Linked DNA regions of Daphnia pulex. The protein of the gene in region 3 purifies or fractionates together with the protein of the main gene of each other region. This does not show direct contact. Links are inferred from orthologs where the notes say so. Each region holds a gene or a part of one and is shown on either strand. Other genes may lie near its edges.

The links.
Region 1: the proteins of chromatin-remodeling complex ATPase chain Iswi-like (region 3) and chromatin accessibility complex protein 1-like fractionate together in Drosophila melanogaster (co-fractionation; 4 studies listed by BioGRID, with this or other methods). This does not show direct contact. The link is inferred for Daphnia pulex from reciprocal best matches to the Drosophila melanogaster genes Iswi and Chrac-16.
Region 2: the proteins of chromatin-remodeling complex ATPase chain Iswi-like (region 3) and chromatin assembly factor 1 p55 subunit purify together in Drosophila melanogaster (affinity purification with western blotting; 5 studies listed by BioGRID, with this or other methods). This does not show direct contact. The link is inferred for Daphnia pulex from reciprocal best matches to the Drosophila melanogaster genes Iswi and Caf1-55.
Region 4: the proteins of chromatin-remodeling complex ATPase chain Iswi-like (region 3) and nucleosome-remodeling factor subunit NURF301-like purify together in Drosophila melanogaster (affinity purification with western blotting; 7 studies listed by BioGRID, with this or other methods). This does not show direct contact. The link is inferred for Daphnia pulex from reciprocal best matches to the Drosophila melanogaster genes Iswi and E(bx).

Annotation. Positions count from the first base shown.
Region 1 is NC_060025.1:6,928,088-6,931,418, reverse strand, and holds chromatin accessibility complex protein 1-like, read right to left. Parts: upstream 1,836-3,331; 5' UTR 1,720-1,835; coding exon 1,585-1,719; intron 1,508-1,584; coding exon 1,387-1,507; intron 1,326-1,386; coding exon 1,249-1,325; 3' UTR 1,150-1,248; downstream 1-1,149. Other genes in the region: metallo-beta-lactamase domain-containing protein 1-like, read right to left, coding at 1-155, 223-336, 433-645, 713-842; mediator of RNA polymerase II transcription subunit 12-like, read left to right, coding at 2,215-2,304, 2,442-2,549, 2,635-2,826, 2,890-3,049, 3,113-3,324. UniProt on the Drosophila melanogaster protein: Histone-like protein which promotes nucleosome sliding of ATP-dependent nucleosome remodeling complexes. Part of the chromatin-accessibility complex (CHRAC) which uses energy/ATP to increase the general accessibility of DNA in chromatin.
Region 2 is NC_060023.1:6,455,369-6,459,829, forward strand, and holds chromatin assembly factor 1 p55 subunit, read right to left. Parts: upstream 3,294-4,461; 5' UTR 3,156-3,293; coding exon 3,137-3,155; intron 3,075-3,136; coding exon 2,927-3,074; intron 2,858-2,926; coding exon 2,712-2,857; intron 2,652-2,711; coding exon 2,447-2,651; intron 2,374-2,446; coding exon 2,001-2,373; intron 1,931-2,000; coding exon 1,718-1,930; intron 1,654-1,717; coding exon 1,474-1,653; 3' UTR 1,314-1,473; downstream 1-1,313. UniProt on the Drosophila melanogaster protein: Core histone-binding subunit that may target chromatin assembly factors, chromatin remodeling factors and histone deacetylases to their histone substrates in a manner that is regulated by nucleosomal DNA.
Region 3 is NC_060024.1:13,559,486-13,564,258, reverse strand, and holds the start of chromatin-remodeling complex ATPase chain Iswi-like, read right to left. Parts: upstream 3,238-4,773; 5' UTR 3,030-3,237; coding exon 2,967-3,029; intron 2,889-2,966; coding exon 2,826-2,888; intron 2,767-2,825; coding exon 2,224-2,766; intron 2,152-2,223; coding exon 1,864-2,151; intron 1,806-1,863; coding exon 1,461-1,805; intron 1,397-1,460; coding exon 1,256-1,396; intron 1,194-1,255; coding exon 999-1,193; intron 936-998; coding exon 654-935; intron 584-653; coding exon 474-583; intron 410-473; coding exon 286-409; intron 227-285; coding exon 1-226. Other genes in the region: alpha-L-fucosidase-like, read right to left, coding at 3,992-4,084, 4,147-4,294, 4,365-4,527, 4,627-4,767.
Region 4 is NC_060023.1:9,234,951-9,239,754, reverse strand, and holds the start of nucleosome-remodeling factor subunit NURF301-like, read right to left. Parts: upstream 3,325-4,804; 5' UTR 2,896-3,324; coding exon 2,212-2,895; intron 2,155-2,211; coding exon 1,779-2,154; intron 1,719-1,778; coding exon 1,498-1,718; intron 1,434-1,497; coding exon 1,148-1,433; intron 1,081-1,147; coding exon 98-1,080; intron 32-97; coding exon 1-31. Other genes in the region: probable aminoacyl tRNA synthase complex-interacting multifunctional protein 2, read left to right, coding at 4,689-4,804. UniProt on the Drosophila melanogaster protein: Histone-binding component of NURF (nucleosome remodeling factor), a complex which catalyzes ATP-dependent nucleosome sliding and facilitates transcription of chromatin.

The DNA.
Region 1 (3,331 bases), on a different chromosome or scaffold from region 3:
AGTGACTTTAAAAATTGGACCATGGCCTGGGACAATGTAATCTGCAATATTTGCAATAACAGCTCGCGAATGTTCTTGCTGTTCAGGATTTACACTCCCGCAACTTCTCCATATCTCAGGTTGTTCAATGTCTTCTTCCCGTTCAAAAATATCACCTAATTAATAGACAAAATTGAAATAAAATGTCATTATTGATAACATATAGCTAGCAAGAAATTTTACCTGCAATGACTACTGTACCCATATCTTCAGTTTTAATAACAACACTGATATCATCTGCTGTGTGTCCAGGTGTAGGTATTACTGTAATACCCTCATCAATTTCAAATGGAAGACCTACAGCACATCATACATTTTGTATGTAAAAAAAATTAATGTTTGTTTGAAGCTAAAGTAATAAAGTACACAATTAAAGGAAACCACAGAATTTACCTTTATCAAAAGGATGTAAAAAATATTTGTCTTTAACAGAAATGCAATAGCCAACTATATGTTTAGCTTTCAGAAACAAATTGTTGTTGCCAGTGTGATCCGAATGACCATGAGTAGATATGACATAGTTGATGTCATCAGGGGTTAACCCATTCGCCTCTAAAGATAGTAAAATGAGATTGGTATCCCAAGGTGTCATTGTATCAACAATTACTGAAAAAATAATTTATTAACTGTTATCACGTTATTGCGAACATATTTGGATTGTGCTGTTTGTTACTATTTTTACTGCCGGTAACCAATACGCATGAGCAATTTGCACGGACGAAAGGAAGATTTTCGTCTTTTTCCTCAATTGTGGTAGAAGAATATCCAGTATGTATTACTGTAACACGGTTGGAGTTCGCCATCCTTTTAGAAATTAGAGTAGCCCTTCTAGTGTCAAAATGTCAAAAATCAAAATCAAATGTTTTGTTTTTTTAGACTGCTTTTTTCGCCATCTATGGGTGACACGCTGAACTTTGCCATTTTGCTTATTGCAGCAGCTGTGGTTTGAAAATAACGTACGCTAAATTGAGGGAGAAAAAAATACGGACACACCCGTTTAGGCTAACAAATGGTCACATAAAACCGCAATTAATTAATTACAACAGTACATTAACTGCAGTCTATTGAACCACCAAACTATCTTAGTTGATGTGAATCGTAAAGGAACAATGGGTTCAATCAATGTATTTGAAATTGAACTTTCCTTAGTGGAACACTTATAAATATGAGCAAGTAATGTTGAAGACAGAAATGAATTTGAATAAACACTCAAAACAAGTCACCATTTCCTTTTTCCTTCAGAATTTCTTGATATTCCTTGTATGTTATTTTCTTAGGAACCATATCTGAAAACACAATAATAATAATAAATTAAAATTTTACTAATACCATTTAGTAACACAGTACCTTTGAGAAACTGCATAGAATCACTTTTTTGAACAATGTCAGCTAGACCTTTGTAAGTAAGCTCATTTGACTTTTTGGTACTTTCATAAATCTCTTGGGCTAAATGTTCTACAAAAAACTCCTTAAAACATTGAAACATTTTAGATGAAGATGAGAAAAATAAGATGAAAAAATTATCTGGAAACAAACTAAAAATACCGTTGCTTTTGTTACAAAGTATAATGCGTCAGTGGATATGCTCTCAGTATCTGGGGAACTCTTCATAATCATTTTTACTCGTGCTTGTGGTAATATTATGGAGCCGTCTCCTAATTTCGGTTTAAAGGAAGACATTCTTAATTTAATTTCACTTGATTTAGTCCTTCACTTCAATCAATTCAGCAATTCCGCGCCACTACAATTTCTAACAAAATGCCAAAATAGAAATGTTCAAAATATAGTCTGCTGACTTTTACAGCACTGCCAAGATGTGATCAATGAAAATTGAAAATGCAAGGAGCATATTTTGTCATTAATTTGTTCATAATAAATTGATACCAATTGTATTAATAACTATTTCTAAATTCAGTTGCTAGACTACGATTAGTCCAAAATTCAAATACATTCATCTCCAATTATTCTTTATGTGTGCCGTAACAGCAAATTATAGAAATGCAACGTTGTAGCAAAGCCATCACACTGATATATCTGTCTGAACCATGGTCTGAAAATCGGAACTCTTGATAAGAATTTAGAAGTATTTGATTACTTGTGTACTTGTGTTGTGTAAACATTGATGTGTGGTAACAAATTTATACTTCTGCGTGGAAATTGATTTTAGAGCTAGTTATGGCTTGTTTATCAATGGAAAATCGTCCTCTTAAAAAATTGAGATTAGGACCGCCCGATGTTTACCCACAGGATCCCAAACAAAAAGAGGTAATATTTTGAATGTAGCTGCAGCTTTTTTATGAGCCCAAGTACGAAAATGCTAGTTGCCAAAAGGCAGTTTCATTTAAAAAAAAGGATAATTCTTTATGTTTTCCTTTCATTAACATTTGGAATACTATTTTTAGGATGAACTGACTCCTGTCAATGTGAAACAAGGATTTTCTCATACACCCAATCTTAATCAGTCTGAAGAGTATGGATCTGCTAAAAATCACAACTTTTCTTTATCAAAGGTAAACTACAATTTACTGTAATTAGTATGATGTTCATAGATTGTTCTAGGCTGACAACCATTTTATTATTCTTTCCTAATGTTAGGTCCAAACTTTTATTAATGGAGTGCTTACAAAAAAACAAGAAATCAACACATTGCCTGATACTGGCCGAAAACGCCAACTCATCAATCCCAAAGAAAATTTCCATAATGTTACTCCAAAGTCCAAGGCATTCATTGAGTCTTGGTTCAAAGACTTAGCAGGCAGCAAACCTTTGATGAATCTAGGAAAAAGAGTAATATTATACTCAGAATATCTTAAACAAATAAAAATACCAACTTTTGATTCCTTTTACAAGGTGCCAATATTCAACAAGAAGGAAGAAATATTTATCCAACTAAGTGAATATCAGGTTCCTATGTCTAGAGCAATATGGTTAATCAAGATGACATCTGCGTATTCAGTGGCTATTTCTGAAGCCAAAATGAAAAAGCGTCAAGTTCCAGATTCCTCTCAAGGTAGTTTCCAAGATTTAAATAATTTATTTTATCTGCAATTATAATCATTTTTTTGTTATATAGAGTGGACTAGTACATTGGTCCGGTTCATAAAGGAACAAATTGTGAAACTACAAGATTTCTATCAAAAATCCACAAATAGTGGAGGAACTTCTGCTGCATATGCTTCAAATGCTACTGCATATCATAATGGTAGCCCTTTGATGAGTGATGAACAGAAGCTTGCTCTTCGCCAATTTAATTATTGCCAGCAATTATGCAAAGTGATGTTTGAGGTATTGT
Region 2 (4,461 bases), on a different chromosome or scaffold from region 3:
ACCAAGTCCCAGTACAGCACCGCGAGCCGTACGTAACACCACGCGTCAACGCGCTCGATCAAGGTCCCGCAAGGCCAAAGATCGGGTAAACAGCTCTGTCGTGAGTTATTTTACTTGTATACCCCGATTGAAAATAAGCATCATCCATCTCTTTGATGTTGGCTTCCTCCAACCGAAAATGCATATCTCAACGATGGCCAGCGCTCTTTCGATTAGGTGATTAATGGATCTATTCAGTCAGGAAAGTGACTTGACAACCAGCACCGATAGGCCCAGCACCGACTTGAAACGCAATTTCCGTGTTAGAGACTAAAACCGAAATTAATTATACAATGTATTGTCTGGAAAATTCGGTAAATACCTTTATTAACAGTTAAGCAACCCGTGGCTTTTCAATGCGTAAAAATAATTTTATGATGAGGTTTCATTGAAACAAAAAAATACAAAATCGATTTTTTAAAATTGAAAATCAGAAGAGATTAACGATGCCGGTATTTTCAATGAATTTTATTTCAGTCGTTTGCGGATATTGGAAAAAAATATTGCGCGCCTTTGTTTTGGGCGTTTGGGTAACTGCCCTTGAAAAACCGATGCGTCACGTTTTTGCAAGGCATATTTCAACTGACAAAAAAGCGAAAAAAACAAACAAACAAAAACATTATGAAAATGTGGAATCGATTTTCACATTTCGCGATCCATAAACATAACAAATGTTGGCGTTTTCTCAATCCCAATACGGGGTCCAACCATCCAGACGGACCTTGGCCGAACACGGTGTTGAGGATGCTGCTGGAGTCTTCGTCATGCTCAACCTCAAGCGCTTTAATTGCGTTTTCAAGGTTGAATAATAAATAACATCGGTCCTCTACACTTATTCACGGGTAGGAGAGGAACTTTTTTACTGCCGCATGATGCCCACACCCAGCTGAAGACGATAGATGTTTACCTGCTGCTTGCTGGCGGGCCAGTGTGAGCCGAACAATGTTGATTCACGGTCAAGACGGATATGCTGTTGGCTTCTAAATCCAAACATCACAGATTAGAAATCCGAGTTCAAAGAAAACAGTCGAACATGTACAAATACAAAATCACGAATAATTAGAACAGTCGGGAATTAGGCAATTTACTGTTATTTAGCTTTCGAAATCTAATGATTGCGTCATAGGGTCAGGCGATCAAGAGTCGAATTTTGTTCTGAATAAGAGCGTCTTTCAACCATTTATTGAAATTTCATCACAACCCACTTAATGGACTGCAAATGGACTAGTAACCTAATTAACGGCAGTAATTAGAATAATTCAAATTGAACCAAATCGCGGAAAGCTATTTATTGAATACACAAACTTGGATCTCCAAGCGATGTAAGGGCCAAATTCGAAGATTTGAATGTTAAAAAAAAGATGAGCGTGTACGTGGGACAGTAAAGAATCAAACGATGAGAAATAGGGTATAGGGCGATACACTGGAAATGCATTAATTAGTAGGGGTTTCCAGTTCTGAGGCTGGCGTCTCAGGCTCCTCGTCGTTGTAAATATTTTCAGCCATTTGCCAAACTTGCATGATGTTATCCTCAGAGACGGAGCAGATGACCCAGGGCTCATTCGGGTTCCAGGAGAAATCAGAGATCTTGGCCGTATGACCACCGTGAATGAACTGTTGAGAATTCAATAATTAAACAGCATCCGAATCAAACAATCGCATCAATATTTCAACTTACCAACAATTCTGGAGGGCCATCTTCGGCATCTTCGGTGGATTGTTCTTCTCCAATTTTGGACAAGTCCCAGACATGCAAGCGTCGGTCGGTGCCAGACGAAGCCAAAATAGTCTCATTATGCGGTGACCATTGGACTTGAAAGATTTCATCCTTGTGCGACTCGAACGAATGTAATTTGAGTTTAAGATTTCTCAAATCCCAAAGAGCTACAGTCTAGAAATACAATTTGGAGACATGTTTAGTTGAGTAGAATAAATAGTAGATTTTAATATTAAATGAATACTTTGTCTGCAGATCCGGTAGCTAAAATAAATTCGGAGTAAGGATTGAATGACAGACAGTTCACTTCAGCCGTATGAGCATCCACGGTATGGGAGGGCCGGCTGGTGTTATTGCTGCGAGTATCCCAAATCATAAGCTTCTGATCATCGGCAACGGAACCAAACAAGGACTCGTGAAGCAAGTGCCAAGCGACATCTTCTACAACTGCTGTGTGGCCAGTGAATACGGTTTTGGCGTCGAGAACACGATTCTCTCTCGGCGATGCGTTAATATCCCACAAGCAAATGGTGTGGTCATCAGATGCTGACAGCAAGTGACCATTAAGGTTTGGATTCCAAGACAAACCGTAACCTTCCTTCTGGTGTCCTCTCAGACTAAAAAAAGATAATGTAGTTGTGAGTAACAAGTTTAGGTCATAAGAAATCATTTGAATAAAAAATGACTCACCGTAAATCAGGGTGGCACTCTCCACTAGGATCAGGGCGAGAAGGATGTTTTGTGTAGTCAAAGACCAAGACGTCAGATGAAGGTGTTTTAGTGGCAATCACACAAGGATTCTGGGGCATGTAGCGAGCCCTGTTGACTTCTCCTTCATGGTTGATCTTGATCTCAATTTCAATCTTACCACTCACTGATCCAAAGCCTCCAAACTCTGATAGAGATGAAGCATTAAAACAATAGTGCAACAGATTTGATCAAGTTAAATGACTACCTCCTTTATCATTGTCATAATGTGAAGCATCAAACTGAGCATCCTCATTAGGAAGCTGGACAGATGCAATCAAGAGGTGATTTTGTTCATCGCTAGTGTGAGTACCAAGGATGAGACGATGCACTGAGTAGTCTTTGCCTTCAGGCCTAACGGAGAAAAGAAACATTCAACAGTTAGAAAGAAACAATAAAACACCTTTGTTCTCAGTAATTTACCTTGTAACATCAGGAAGCCATTGAGCTGTAAGTGAAGGCCATTCCAGAGCATGTGTCATAACCAAATCATACAAAAATGGAGTATTTTTCTTCCAAATTTTGTATTCCTCGTTGATGACGCGTTCTTCCACTGCTTCATCAAAGGGCTCTAAAAAAGATTGGATTAAATTTCACTGTCATCCAATAACAAAGAATGATTTCAACAGATACCTCCATCTTTATCTGCCATCGTTAGTCAATCAAGTCCTTTACTAATGATGAACCGGCTGGAACCTGTCAAGCAATAGATTCGGTTAGCAGAGACTTTTGAGCGTGCTGCTTTGTTAAATGGCGGCAAAAACGAAAGCAATTCCAGTGGTGCCACTTTGGAAAAAGTCGAAACTACTTCAATAGTTTATTTTGCCGTTCATAGATGGCATGGTCATGTCTTTAAAGAAAAAAATCTTGAAAATAATAAAATTGTTGTCAAATTAAAAGAATTTGCCTACTTCAAAAGTCTGATTTAAAAATTAAATTTAATTAGTAATAATTAAAAACAATATTTAGGTAGGCCATGGGTGTTGAGAGATTTGTATGCCTGTGGGTAGGTCTAGGAAAAAATCTTCATGTAAGGCAGTGTAAGGCATAAAAACAGTTATATTGTTATAGGAATACAGTTATTTTTTCTAGAAAAAAATATTTGCTTTCAAAAATATATCAATGCTTAATTCCACAAAATTTTAATGGTTTTCCGATGCCCAATATGATTTTAACTTTTTCTCAAGCTTTTTCTGTTGCGCATAATTAATTTCATAGTGGTTTAGCGCTAGATGCCAAAACAATGGAAGGAAATTTGAAGGTGCTTCACCTTTGTTGTCAAGGTTAAAGTGATCTACCTGTTACAATGTAAAGGCGATTGGCGCTCTAGGAAATGGTTCACAGTAAATCATGAAGAAAGCCTCCTCCGGCCATCCGTTAAACAATGTAATATTTTCCGTCATCAGACAATCAAACCGATATTTGAACTAGAAGATAGCAAGACGAGTAAACCACTTCAAAATTCTCTTTCATTGCACAGTGTATTTTTTGCCATAAATTTAATTGAGTTCAGTATAGAAGTTGTACAGCGTTAATAGGATTATTTTTTACTGCGTCTAAGAAAAATTAATGATTTGAAAACACCGTCATTTCTTTCCATTCCTTCATAACGTATTTATTGGATTAAAATTTTCTGCTATCACAACATTCACTAAAGGCTAATAACGTAGTGCTTCAACCAAATGAAATATATATATATATATATTTCGCCGAGCATTACGTGTAGTATGAGGAGTATGAGGAATATGAGGAGTAATAATGGATGGAAATGCCGGTTGAGATATTATCATAACAATGGTCCAAAATTGAAGTCAACTTCTGTTCTCATTTCAAAAGAGATATTCCACAATTTAAGTTAGCTGTTGGCCTTCCGTTCATTTGAACAATAATTCATTGTAGATTCGATCGGACCCAATATATTCATCATCATCATTCATCCAGCATGGTACGATATAAGC
Region 3 (4,773 bases):
TTTCCTTCTCCGCCTGCTCCTCGTCCGTTAGTTGCTCGGCTTCATCAATTTTCCTTTGTTCCTCTCGTTGGACTTTGGCAGCTTCAGCTCCCAGCTCAGGGTTACGCGGAACCTTGTAGCCGACCGTTTTACGGTAATGATAAATCTCTTGATCAAGCAACTCAAATAGCCGTGGCGGGAAAAACTGGAAGTCTTGCACGATGGGTTGTTTAGGTGGTCGAGGTGCCTAAGTAAATCAAAGAAGTGATTCAGATGGAACGGATGCAACAAATATTAGGGCCTTACCTTGGGAGCTTTGGGTTCTGTAACTCGAAGAGCTTCCCTAAAATATGCATCTACGGCATAGTTGGCCTTGCGCTCACGTTTAGGCGGTTCAATCCAGGCACCAACAATCGACTTTTGTTTCTCTCTATGTAACAAAAAAGTTTCAATGTAAGCATGTTCCATGATTACAAAGCTAGATGTGGTATTACCGATAGTCTTCGCCTTCGAACTGGTAGACGGACTCTGTTGGGGCGTCCAAAGTGAAATTACGGAGCGATGATTCTCCGAGTTTCTCGAGACGTTCAGCAACTTCTTGTGTCTGAAAAATAACAATACAAGATGCAAATTACTCAAAAAAATCGATCCATCTTTATATAAGGCAAACTTACTCTGTTTTCGCTTTTGGCTAAAATAGATTCAATGTCTTCGTCTGTGATGTCGGAGTCTTTGGAGGCAAAAACGTGATCTGCTCCGTGTCTGATCATGTTGAGCATTTCATCTTTGTTGAGGGCGCTGTTTGTTTTGTCAAGTAATCGTCCTTGTTGAATAACCAATTTGTCGAGACGCAATTTCACTTCGGCCTTCTCAACAATTTTTTCTTCCACTGTATTGTCTGTGATGAACCGGAACACCCTAACCTGCTTCAGCTGACCGATACGATGGGCTCGATCCTACATTAGTTGAAAACAGTAAATTAACCTGAAAAGTAACCTCAATGTGTTATCAGATAATACCATAGCCTGAAGATCCATTTGAGGATTCCAATCTGAGTCAAAAAGGACGACAACGTCAGCGGTGGCCAAGTTAATACCCAAACCTCCAGCACGAGTAGAAAGCATAAATAAAAACTTCTTGCTATCTGGCGCATTATACTCTTCAATTTGACGATGTCGATCCTCGTGAGGAGTGCTGCCATCGAGACGACAGTACTGAAAGAATTCAAATAACGTTTAGTTGGGTTTAAAAAAAAAATTAGCTCAATTCATCTTACATTGTAACCTCTCCAGAGGGAATAATCCTCTAAGATGTCCAACATACGGGTCATTTGGCTAAAAATAAGCACACGAGATCCTTGGGCTTTCAGTTTAGGCAACAGTTTGTCCAAGATAACCATCTTGCCACAATTGTAAACCTAGGAAAAATAAAATCGTTTTGTAAGTACAACATTTAAACAAGACTAGAAATGAAAAACTCACAATGTGCTCGTCGGTAGTGTAGGGTGGCCCAGGTTCAGCTCCGTCAAACAGGTAAGGATGGTTACAACATTTACGAAGCTGCATAAGAATATTTTGAAGACGCATCTTTTCCAACTTTCCGGCACCATTCACAATATCAATATCTCTCATCAAAATCTTGGTGTACATCTCACGCTGCATCTTGCTAAGACCGATATAGACCTTAACTTCCTTCTTAGGTTTCAGTCGTTTTTCTACTTCGGCCTTAAGACGACGAAGAAGGAAAGGTCGTAGAACGGCATGCAGACGATGGATCAGAGAATCGTCTCCAAGACAGTTGTTGGCGTTAAACCATTCATCGAAATCCTAAATGATTGACAGTTTAGAAGCTGCAACGAGTTTTCGATATAATAGAGAACATTACCTCTGAATTGTTGAAGATGTCTGGCAAAAGAAAGTTAAGTAGAGCCCAGAGTTCGTGCAAGTTGTTCTGGAGAGGTGTTCCGGTGATCAGTAGACGGTTAGATGTTTTGAACTCGCGGACAATTTCTGAAAGTTTGGATTTTTCGTTTTTGATACGATGTGCTTCGTCGATAACCATGTATCGCCAGTTGAACTTCTTGAATACAGCTCGTTCTTTCATGACAATTTCATAGGAGGTAACGCAGGCATCCCATTCACCTGGCATGATTTCATCGCGAACGATATTGGCCTACGAAAATGTGATGATTTTAGCAATGCAACAAAGTACTAAATTTTCATTTATAAAACACAAAAAACATACCCTTGTTTCTTGATCTCCAGTGAGGCACACGGCACGAAGGGTGGGGCACCACTTTTTGAATTCATTCATCCAATTGGCAAGTGTTGATTTTGGTACAATAACCATGTGAGGTCCATTAATGTTGCGGTAGTGCTTCATGTATCCCAACAAAGAGATTGTCTGAAGGGTTTTTCCCAGACCCATCTCATCAGCCAGAATACCATTGATGCCGTTTTCATACAAAGAAATCATCCAATTGAGACCACGAACTTGATAGTCCCTCATCTCACCACCTTTGATGTAAAATGGTGATGTATCAAAACGTGTAACAAGGGCAGCTTTCTCAGCAGCCTTGACTTCTTCCATCAATTCCTCATCTTCTTCTTCTTCAGTCTTTCTATGTCTGTTATCTCCCGCTTCTGCTATTTTCTTTTCTTTGCGGGGTCTTCCTGGTTTCAGTTTCAAGGGGCTTGATGGAGCTTTGGTTCCTGGAGCTGCCATGAAATGACCGAAAAGCTCAGTTTGTTTCAAGAGATAGTCAAACCTCTTGCTACGGTCCACTTCCTACACAAACAATTTTTGTCAACAAACAATTCCCAAAACTGTTACAGAAAAACACTTACCGTTTTCTTGTCAAAGTCATCTTTGCCTTTAGAAAGGGATGATCGGGATGAAGACTCTGTTTGCTATTAAATTCAACATAAGGAAATTAATGAATGTCGAATAGTTTTTAATTGAAACAAAACAATCGTGATGGGACTTACAGAATTTTCGCCAGTATCAGCTGGAGTTTCCATAGGGCTACCTTCCTCCTCTGATTTCGACATGTCGATAGAGAGGGTAACCACGCTTCAAAAAGTCCAACTTTTAAACGCCAAGTATCAAGAAATAGACGATTGCTCTCGTTAAATAAGTTGAGAGATCTCACAATCTCACTCAGTTCATGCAACAACACAACAACGCCGTTACGCCGGTTTAACAACGGACACAAAGGAGGACTGGACTGGAGGAGTCCAGAGCGCGAACGGCGTTGCCAAGTCGTCGAAATTGAATATATACTGCACGCGTGAAAAGCAATTGCCCTTAGAGCACTTAGAGCTTTTTTTCGTTCTTTCAAAAATGAATCATCGTAAAATAATAATTCTAAATTAACAAAATAACCTAATAAAATTTAACAAATTTATTGTATCGTGAACTTGCCTTCGGTCTTCATTGGCCATCACAATTTTATTTTACTCAATTACTTTATAGATCCGTAAAGCAACACTTGAATGACGCGGAATCAACGACAAAATTATTCTATTCGGCCTTCATGACGTAAGTCAGTCGTCTAATATTCGTTGAAATTTAGATCATGGATTGATTTGATTAAAATGTTGTACATTTACCAGTTCGGTACAGTGTTCCTACTGGTTAAAAAATTTCCTGATTTTAAGTAATGTTGCATAGAATTTAATTTCACCCAAAGTGTTGGGAAAATACAGACAATAAACCAAGACCTCCAACGCAGTCGATCGGAGAGACTAATCCTCTTTTCGCGCAGGGGGGTTGCGTGGATACACAGCAGAGCTCCTCTTCGTTTTTACTGCCGTCTGAAAGTGAAACAAGATCCTCTGCTCCAACTCGTAGTCATAAAATATCACACACACACATAGAAACAGTGTAGTACTGGGAAAAATAAGTCAATTAAATTTCAAACCAAACAAAATCATCAGAACCAATTGTGGTCCTACCAACAACATGTTTATGCGAAACAATTTTTTAACAATTAGTAAGTAGTCAATTATTATTATATGGCGAATTTCACTGTCCATCCCCACTGGCTCTCGACTTTATTCATTTCAGGAAATTGGATTGATAGGACGCCTTTAAAAATACTCCACTAGAAAAACAAATGGCTTAGTTATTCTTCATTACAGATTTGCTATAGAAATGTCGAAATACTTTTAATGGATCTTTGTATCCCAGCAAAGTGACGACAGATCCATCAGTCAATGGAACTGGAGCTCCGATCATTAGGGTGTTGTTTTCCGGCCATCGTAGAGTTATTCCGTACACGTACTTCCATATGAAAATTCTCTTACTGGTGTACCTATGATATGATCTCGCGATGGTTTCAAGAATCCCTGGAGAAGAATCACATCATCGGTAAAATGACTTACCAAACATTGCTGGTTAGAGTATCGTTTTGGAGTGTCCACGGAAGAGTTCCGAAAATAGCCTCGCCGTTGACTTGCAACCACGACCCGACGTCGCGCAGACGCTCTTCGAATATTGGACGAATCACGCCGTCCGCCGTGGGCCCGATATTCATCAATAAATTTCCTGCTCTCAGCAAGCACGTTTGTAAAAATACGAGCCAATCAAATCTAGAAGGAATGGTCGCGGCTCGTAAAGCCGTCATCTCCCCCCCGGAATATTTACCTCCGCAACTGACGGTGGTCACAAGCGTCTCGATCAACTCCCGAGTCGTTAGAAAGTCGGAAAGGCGGGCGTTACGTCGGAAGGCCCAGGCTTCTTTGTCGATGGTCATGGCGTTCTCCCATTTACGCGTCTGCAAAACACCTTTTA
Region 4 (4,804 bases), on a different chromosome or scaffold from region 3:
GACGAAACTCTTCACCTTTGTGCTTCCAGATCTGTCGAAAACAATGTGAAACCAATTAGATATGGATTCAAATAGAAATAAAAATAGTTTCTATTACCTGGTGCTTGAGGCCTTTGGTGTAATGGACGGTGTGTAGTCGATGCATCTCTTCTTCCAGTTCTTTATCCTTCTTCTCCTTCTTGTCCACCTTCTTCCGCTCTTCACGTTCAAGGGCCGTCTGTCGTTGAAGTCGAATGTGGCCAAGTGACTCGTGCCAGACGGAAGAGAAAACAACTGGGCGGATGCACGCAACCAGGATTGAGAGGACACGACCGAGGTCTGTTGGCGAGACGCTTTGATTGACAGCTTGGATCCAAGACTTTCGCATACTCCCAGCCCAGTTAGGATGCATGAAAATAGCAGGCAATTGAGAGTGCAGTTGGAGCAAGGTGGAACGAACAGTTTGCTGCATGATAGTGCGGTTGCCAAATGTACTGCCCAACCACTTAAACTCGCCGCAACCCGTAATGGAGAACTTGTGCGACAAGTAACGCTTGCGGTCTCTCTCCTCTGCTGCCTGGTTTTTGTTGAGCGCGAGGGGATTGCTCGTGTACTGGTTGACGTACGTCTTGTGCCGTCCTTCCATGCCCAATTTAAAGATGACGTCGGAGGGTAAAGGAGATTGAGATTTTGATTTGGTAGGGGTGCCACTTCTTTCCTCCTTAATAGTGACTCCGCCAGAACCGTTGGTTGTTAAATTTCGCCGTTTCATGTCGACATAGGTGCGTGCCACAATGGTGCCGGTTTTGGAGCGCGTAGAGTAAGTTCCGTTGGCTGTTGGTGTACCGGTAGTAGGCGTTTCTTCAGGCTCTACTTTAGGTTCAGATTCCACATGCAATTGTTGCATGAAATCGTCATCCACTTCCACACCGCATTCTTCCACAACCTCCTCAGTTTCTATTTTTTCCTTCTCTGTTTTGATTGCATCGACAGAGAGGTTCTCATCAGCCTCGTCATCTTCTTCTTTTTCAACTTTGACGACCGTCTGAGAGGCCTCCCTTGCAACTTCTTCGTCAAGTTCGAGATATGATTTGTTGTTGCCTAAAATGTATAACAAATGATTAGCGTCTTTTATGAATAAAATTAGGTAGATTAAAATATTATTCACCTTTATTCTCGTTTGTCAGCTGTATCGTGAGAGCCATCTGCCTCAATATTTCCGGCCTTAGATTGTATAGTTCTTGACAAAGAGCCTTTTCAAAATCTGTCTTGTCCAAAGCTGCAAGCAACTGTTCAAACTGATGGGGACTGGAGTAGTACCAAGTTTTACGGTCCTCCACGGCAATAGTTTCTTCATCTCCGTCAATTTCTTCCCGGCTGCCAGTTTCTTCGACAAAGATCCGTCTGGCAATAAACCAGTATTTGCGTCCGTGTCGGTCGTAGCCCAAAGATTCCTAAAAGAGAATACATGAATTAAAAAGGAATTCATCCGCCAGCATTGGGTTTCAGGATAATTACTTGTCGGCAGAGAAAACCGGATCGTTCAACATCACTTATACAATCAGTTACTCCTTTGCATAGTTGGGCCGTGCATATAGGACACTGCCAATCCTCGTTTGGAACGTGCTCCAGTGGTGGGTCGAGACAGTGGAGGTGATAGACGGCTGGACATGTCTCACAGCAGAGCAAATCTCCAACTTTGTGGCAAACTCGACAATGGTCATTATATTTGATGTTTCCTATAGATGAAAGATGAATTAGTATGTTTAAAACCATAAAAATGATTTAAAAAATGTTACCCTCGCTAAGGAACTCTTGTCGGACAGCCGTATTGCAGAGAAAATGGTCAGTAAGAAACTTGAGGAGGTTCAGACGGACGTCGCAGGTAGTAAAAGGATATTCGCAGGATTCAAGTAAAGAGAGTGCAGGTGCAAAGGTCGGGTCACTCTGCATGTATATCCGCATGACTTCTGGCCACGTCAGCGTGTCGGCAAAGTTTAACACAGAATTTGTGCTGTCTTTCTGGTCCAGTGGTCCAAACCAAGTTTGTTGTACGTCTTCCTCTCGAAGCATGGACTTTAAGAGTTGAACATGGACTTCCGCCAAAAGAGTTGTCATTTCTTCCGATTGAAGAGCGGCCATGAAATCCTCGAGTCGAAAAGGAGAGAGCCTCACCTACGCAGAGAGATTGATTAGCCAGGGAAAATTATTCATAATAAAAACCAAACCAACCTCACTGCTAAACTTGCGTAGGACTTCGTAAATCGCGCAAGCAGGTAGCACTTGGTGTGTAGGCAAGAGAAGGTCTTCAGAAGATTTGGGTAGAGTCAACACTGGTAAATCTTGATCGGACTGGAGCCAAATAGGGAGTGGAGTGGGTATAGACTTTATACTGGATTCAACAATTTTTCGCATTGAGGAACTTTGATTAGAAATGGAGATATCTGAGGCATTATCATCCAGTTCATCACTCTCTGGCTCGCTAATTGGTATGTCCACGTCACTCTCAACATCCAACTCTGCATCTTCTCCTTGGCTCGGAGGCCCATCAGAATCACTACCAGAGTCAAAGTCTGAGCCATAATGATAATCATTACCCCTGGTAATGACCAACGAAGGCCTAGGCACATATGCTTTGCCACCTCTGTTGCCTCTTGTACCCGCTTTCCTTCCACGTTTCTTGAATGGAGTTACTGATATATGTTTTTTGGCACTGTATTGTTGTGTGAAACTCCCCACACTGCCTCCCGGTGAACTAGCTCTAGACCCAGTTGGACCATTGTCATTAGCCACTCCATCACGAGACAAAAACCATTTAGGCTTCTCGATAACGTTCGATCGGGAATTTAGGAAGTGTGGTGTTGTATAAGATGATTTAGGCGGCCTCCCGCGTCTCCTACCGCCTCTCGACGACATTATCGACTGTGGGATACACTTTTAACAAAGGATTAATGACCAGCTGAAACACTGGAGTAGGCCGGCAGTAGTATGCTTGTTTATAAACAAGGTTGACAGGGCGCCAAAACTTCCCACGGTGTCCACTACCACCTAGTAGTAGTGTTGTACGCGGAAGGCTTAACGGCCATCTTGATCACGTGACTTTTCAGATATTGCCTGCTGAATATTCACGAAAATAGTTTTCACACTCACAACGACAGTTAATATTGTGCCAAACACTCTAAAACAAAACGTTGAACAATTGAACGGTTGAAATACGTTGACTTGAAAGTGTTTTAGGCCCCGGTGACGCCACAAAAAAATTTCAGAGTTTTTTGCTCTGAGATGCTACGAGAGAGAAATAGGCGGGAGGGAATGAAAGGGGGCCTTAAGCCATAACTAACTCTAGCGGGATTGGTCGAAAACTGAAACCAATCACTAAAAGTCTTTCATAGCAACCAAAATTCAAATTTTTGTTTTTCAAAAGTGAATTTTGTCAATCAATGTCGATTTTAACTAATTTTTTGTCTGTTTTGTATGTTTCAAGAGGTTAAAGAAGAGTTTTTTAAGAATTAATTAGAACTGAGAAAGTGAGAATGATTCGACGATAACTTTGGAAATCGATTGCTTATCGATGATCTTTAGAGAATATTCAAACTTTCCATAAAAATGATGTTGCACTCTCAAAAATTCTTATTAGATGTAACATTTTTTCTTGTATTTTGTTATGCTAATTTAGTATCACCACGCTTAGTAAGAGTTTGTTAGTAGTTTGTCTAATCACGGCCAGGCGTCGCTGTTCAAATAGCAGACGACTTTGGTTATCTAAAAAAAATTATAAAAATCATGGCCTACTATAGTCACGGCCCATCATCGTACGCTTCTGTGTGGGACCAATTTTAGGTTCCCTGCCCCTTCCCTGTTGCCATAGTACATAGCCAGAGGGTCGTAAGTATCGGTTTTTGTTCCACATTTCCGCAGATTCTTTCCACCCTTTGGGATTTTTTGGCTTAAGTCGCCATGCCTGTGTGTCTGGCTTGCATCCAGGCATGGTCAGAGTCGATTAAATGCAATTGAAGGACAGTCTAGTGGGTATAGCGGAGGATTCCCACATTAGAGGTGTTAGGTTCAAATCTATGCAAGTCATAATCAATTTTTCATAATTTTTCCTTGTTTTTTCTATATTTTTAAAGCGAATTAGATGGAATGCCTAGATTGTGTAAAAAATGCGAGTTTTTTCACATTTTTTAAAACAAAATCTGAATTTGTTTTCTTTGGCAAGGACTTAGAAAAAAAAGCAAATTCAGATTTTGTTGAAAATAATGTGAAAAAACTCGCATTTTTTCACAATCTAGGCATTCCATCTAATTCGCTTTAAAAATAAAGAAAAAACAAGGAAAAATTATGAAAAATTGATTATGACTTGCATAGATTTGATCCTAATACCACTCTAGTGGGAATCTACCGCTTTAACCACTAGACTGTCAATCGCATACTTTTAGTCGACTCTGACCATAGCACTATGCAAGCCAGACACAGAATCTGCGGAAATGTGGAACAAAAACCGATACTTACGACCCTCTGGCTATGTACTATGGCAACAGGGAAGGGGCAGGGAACCCAAAATTGGTCCCACACAGAAGCGTACGATGATGGGCCGTGACTATAGTAGGCCATGATAAAAATAGACCACATTTCTAAGGCTCGAAGCTATTCAATCGCAGTCTTCTCATTTCCTCCTTTAAATTTTAAATAGAATATACGTAGGTAGGATGTACAAGCTGCAACCTTTATTTAAGTCGGTAGTGGAGACTCCGCATCCGAGTTGTGTCTATAAAATGAAAAAAATCAGTGACCATTTTAATCACAATATTGCTGCCAATAATGA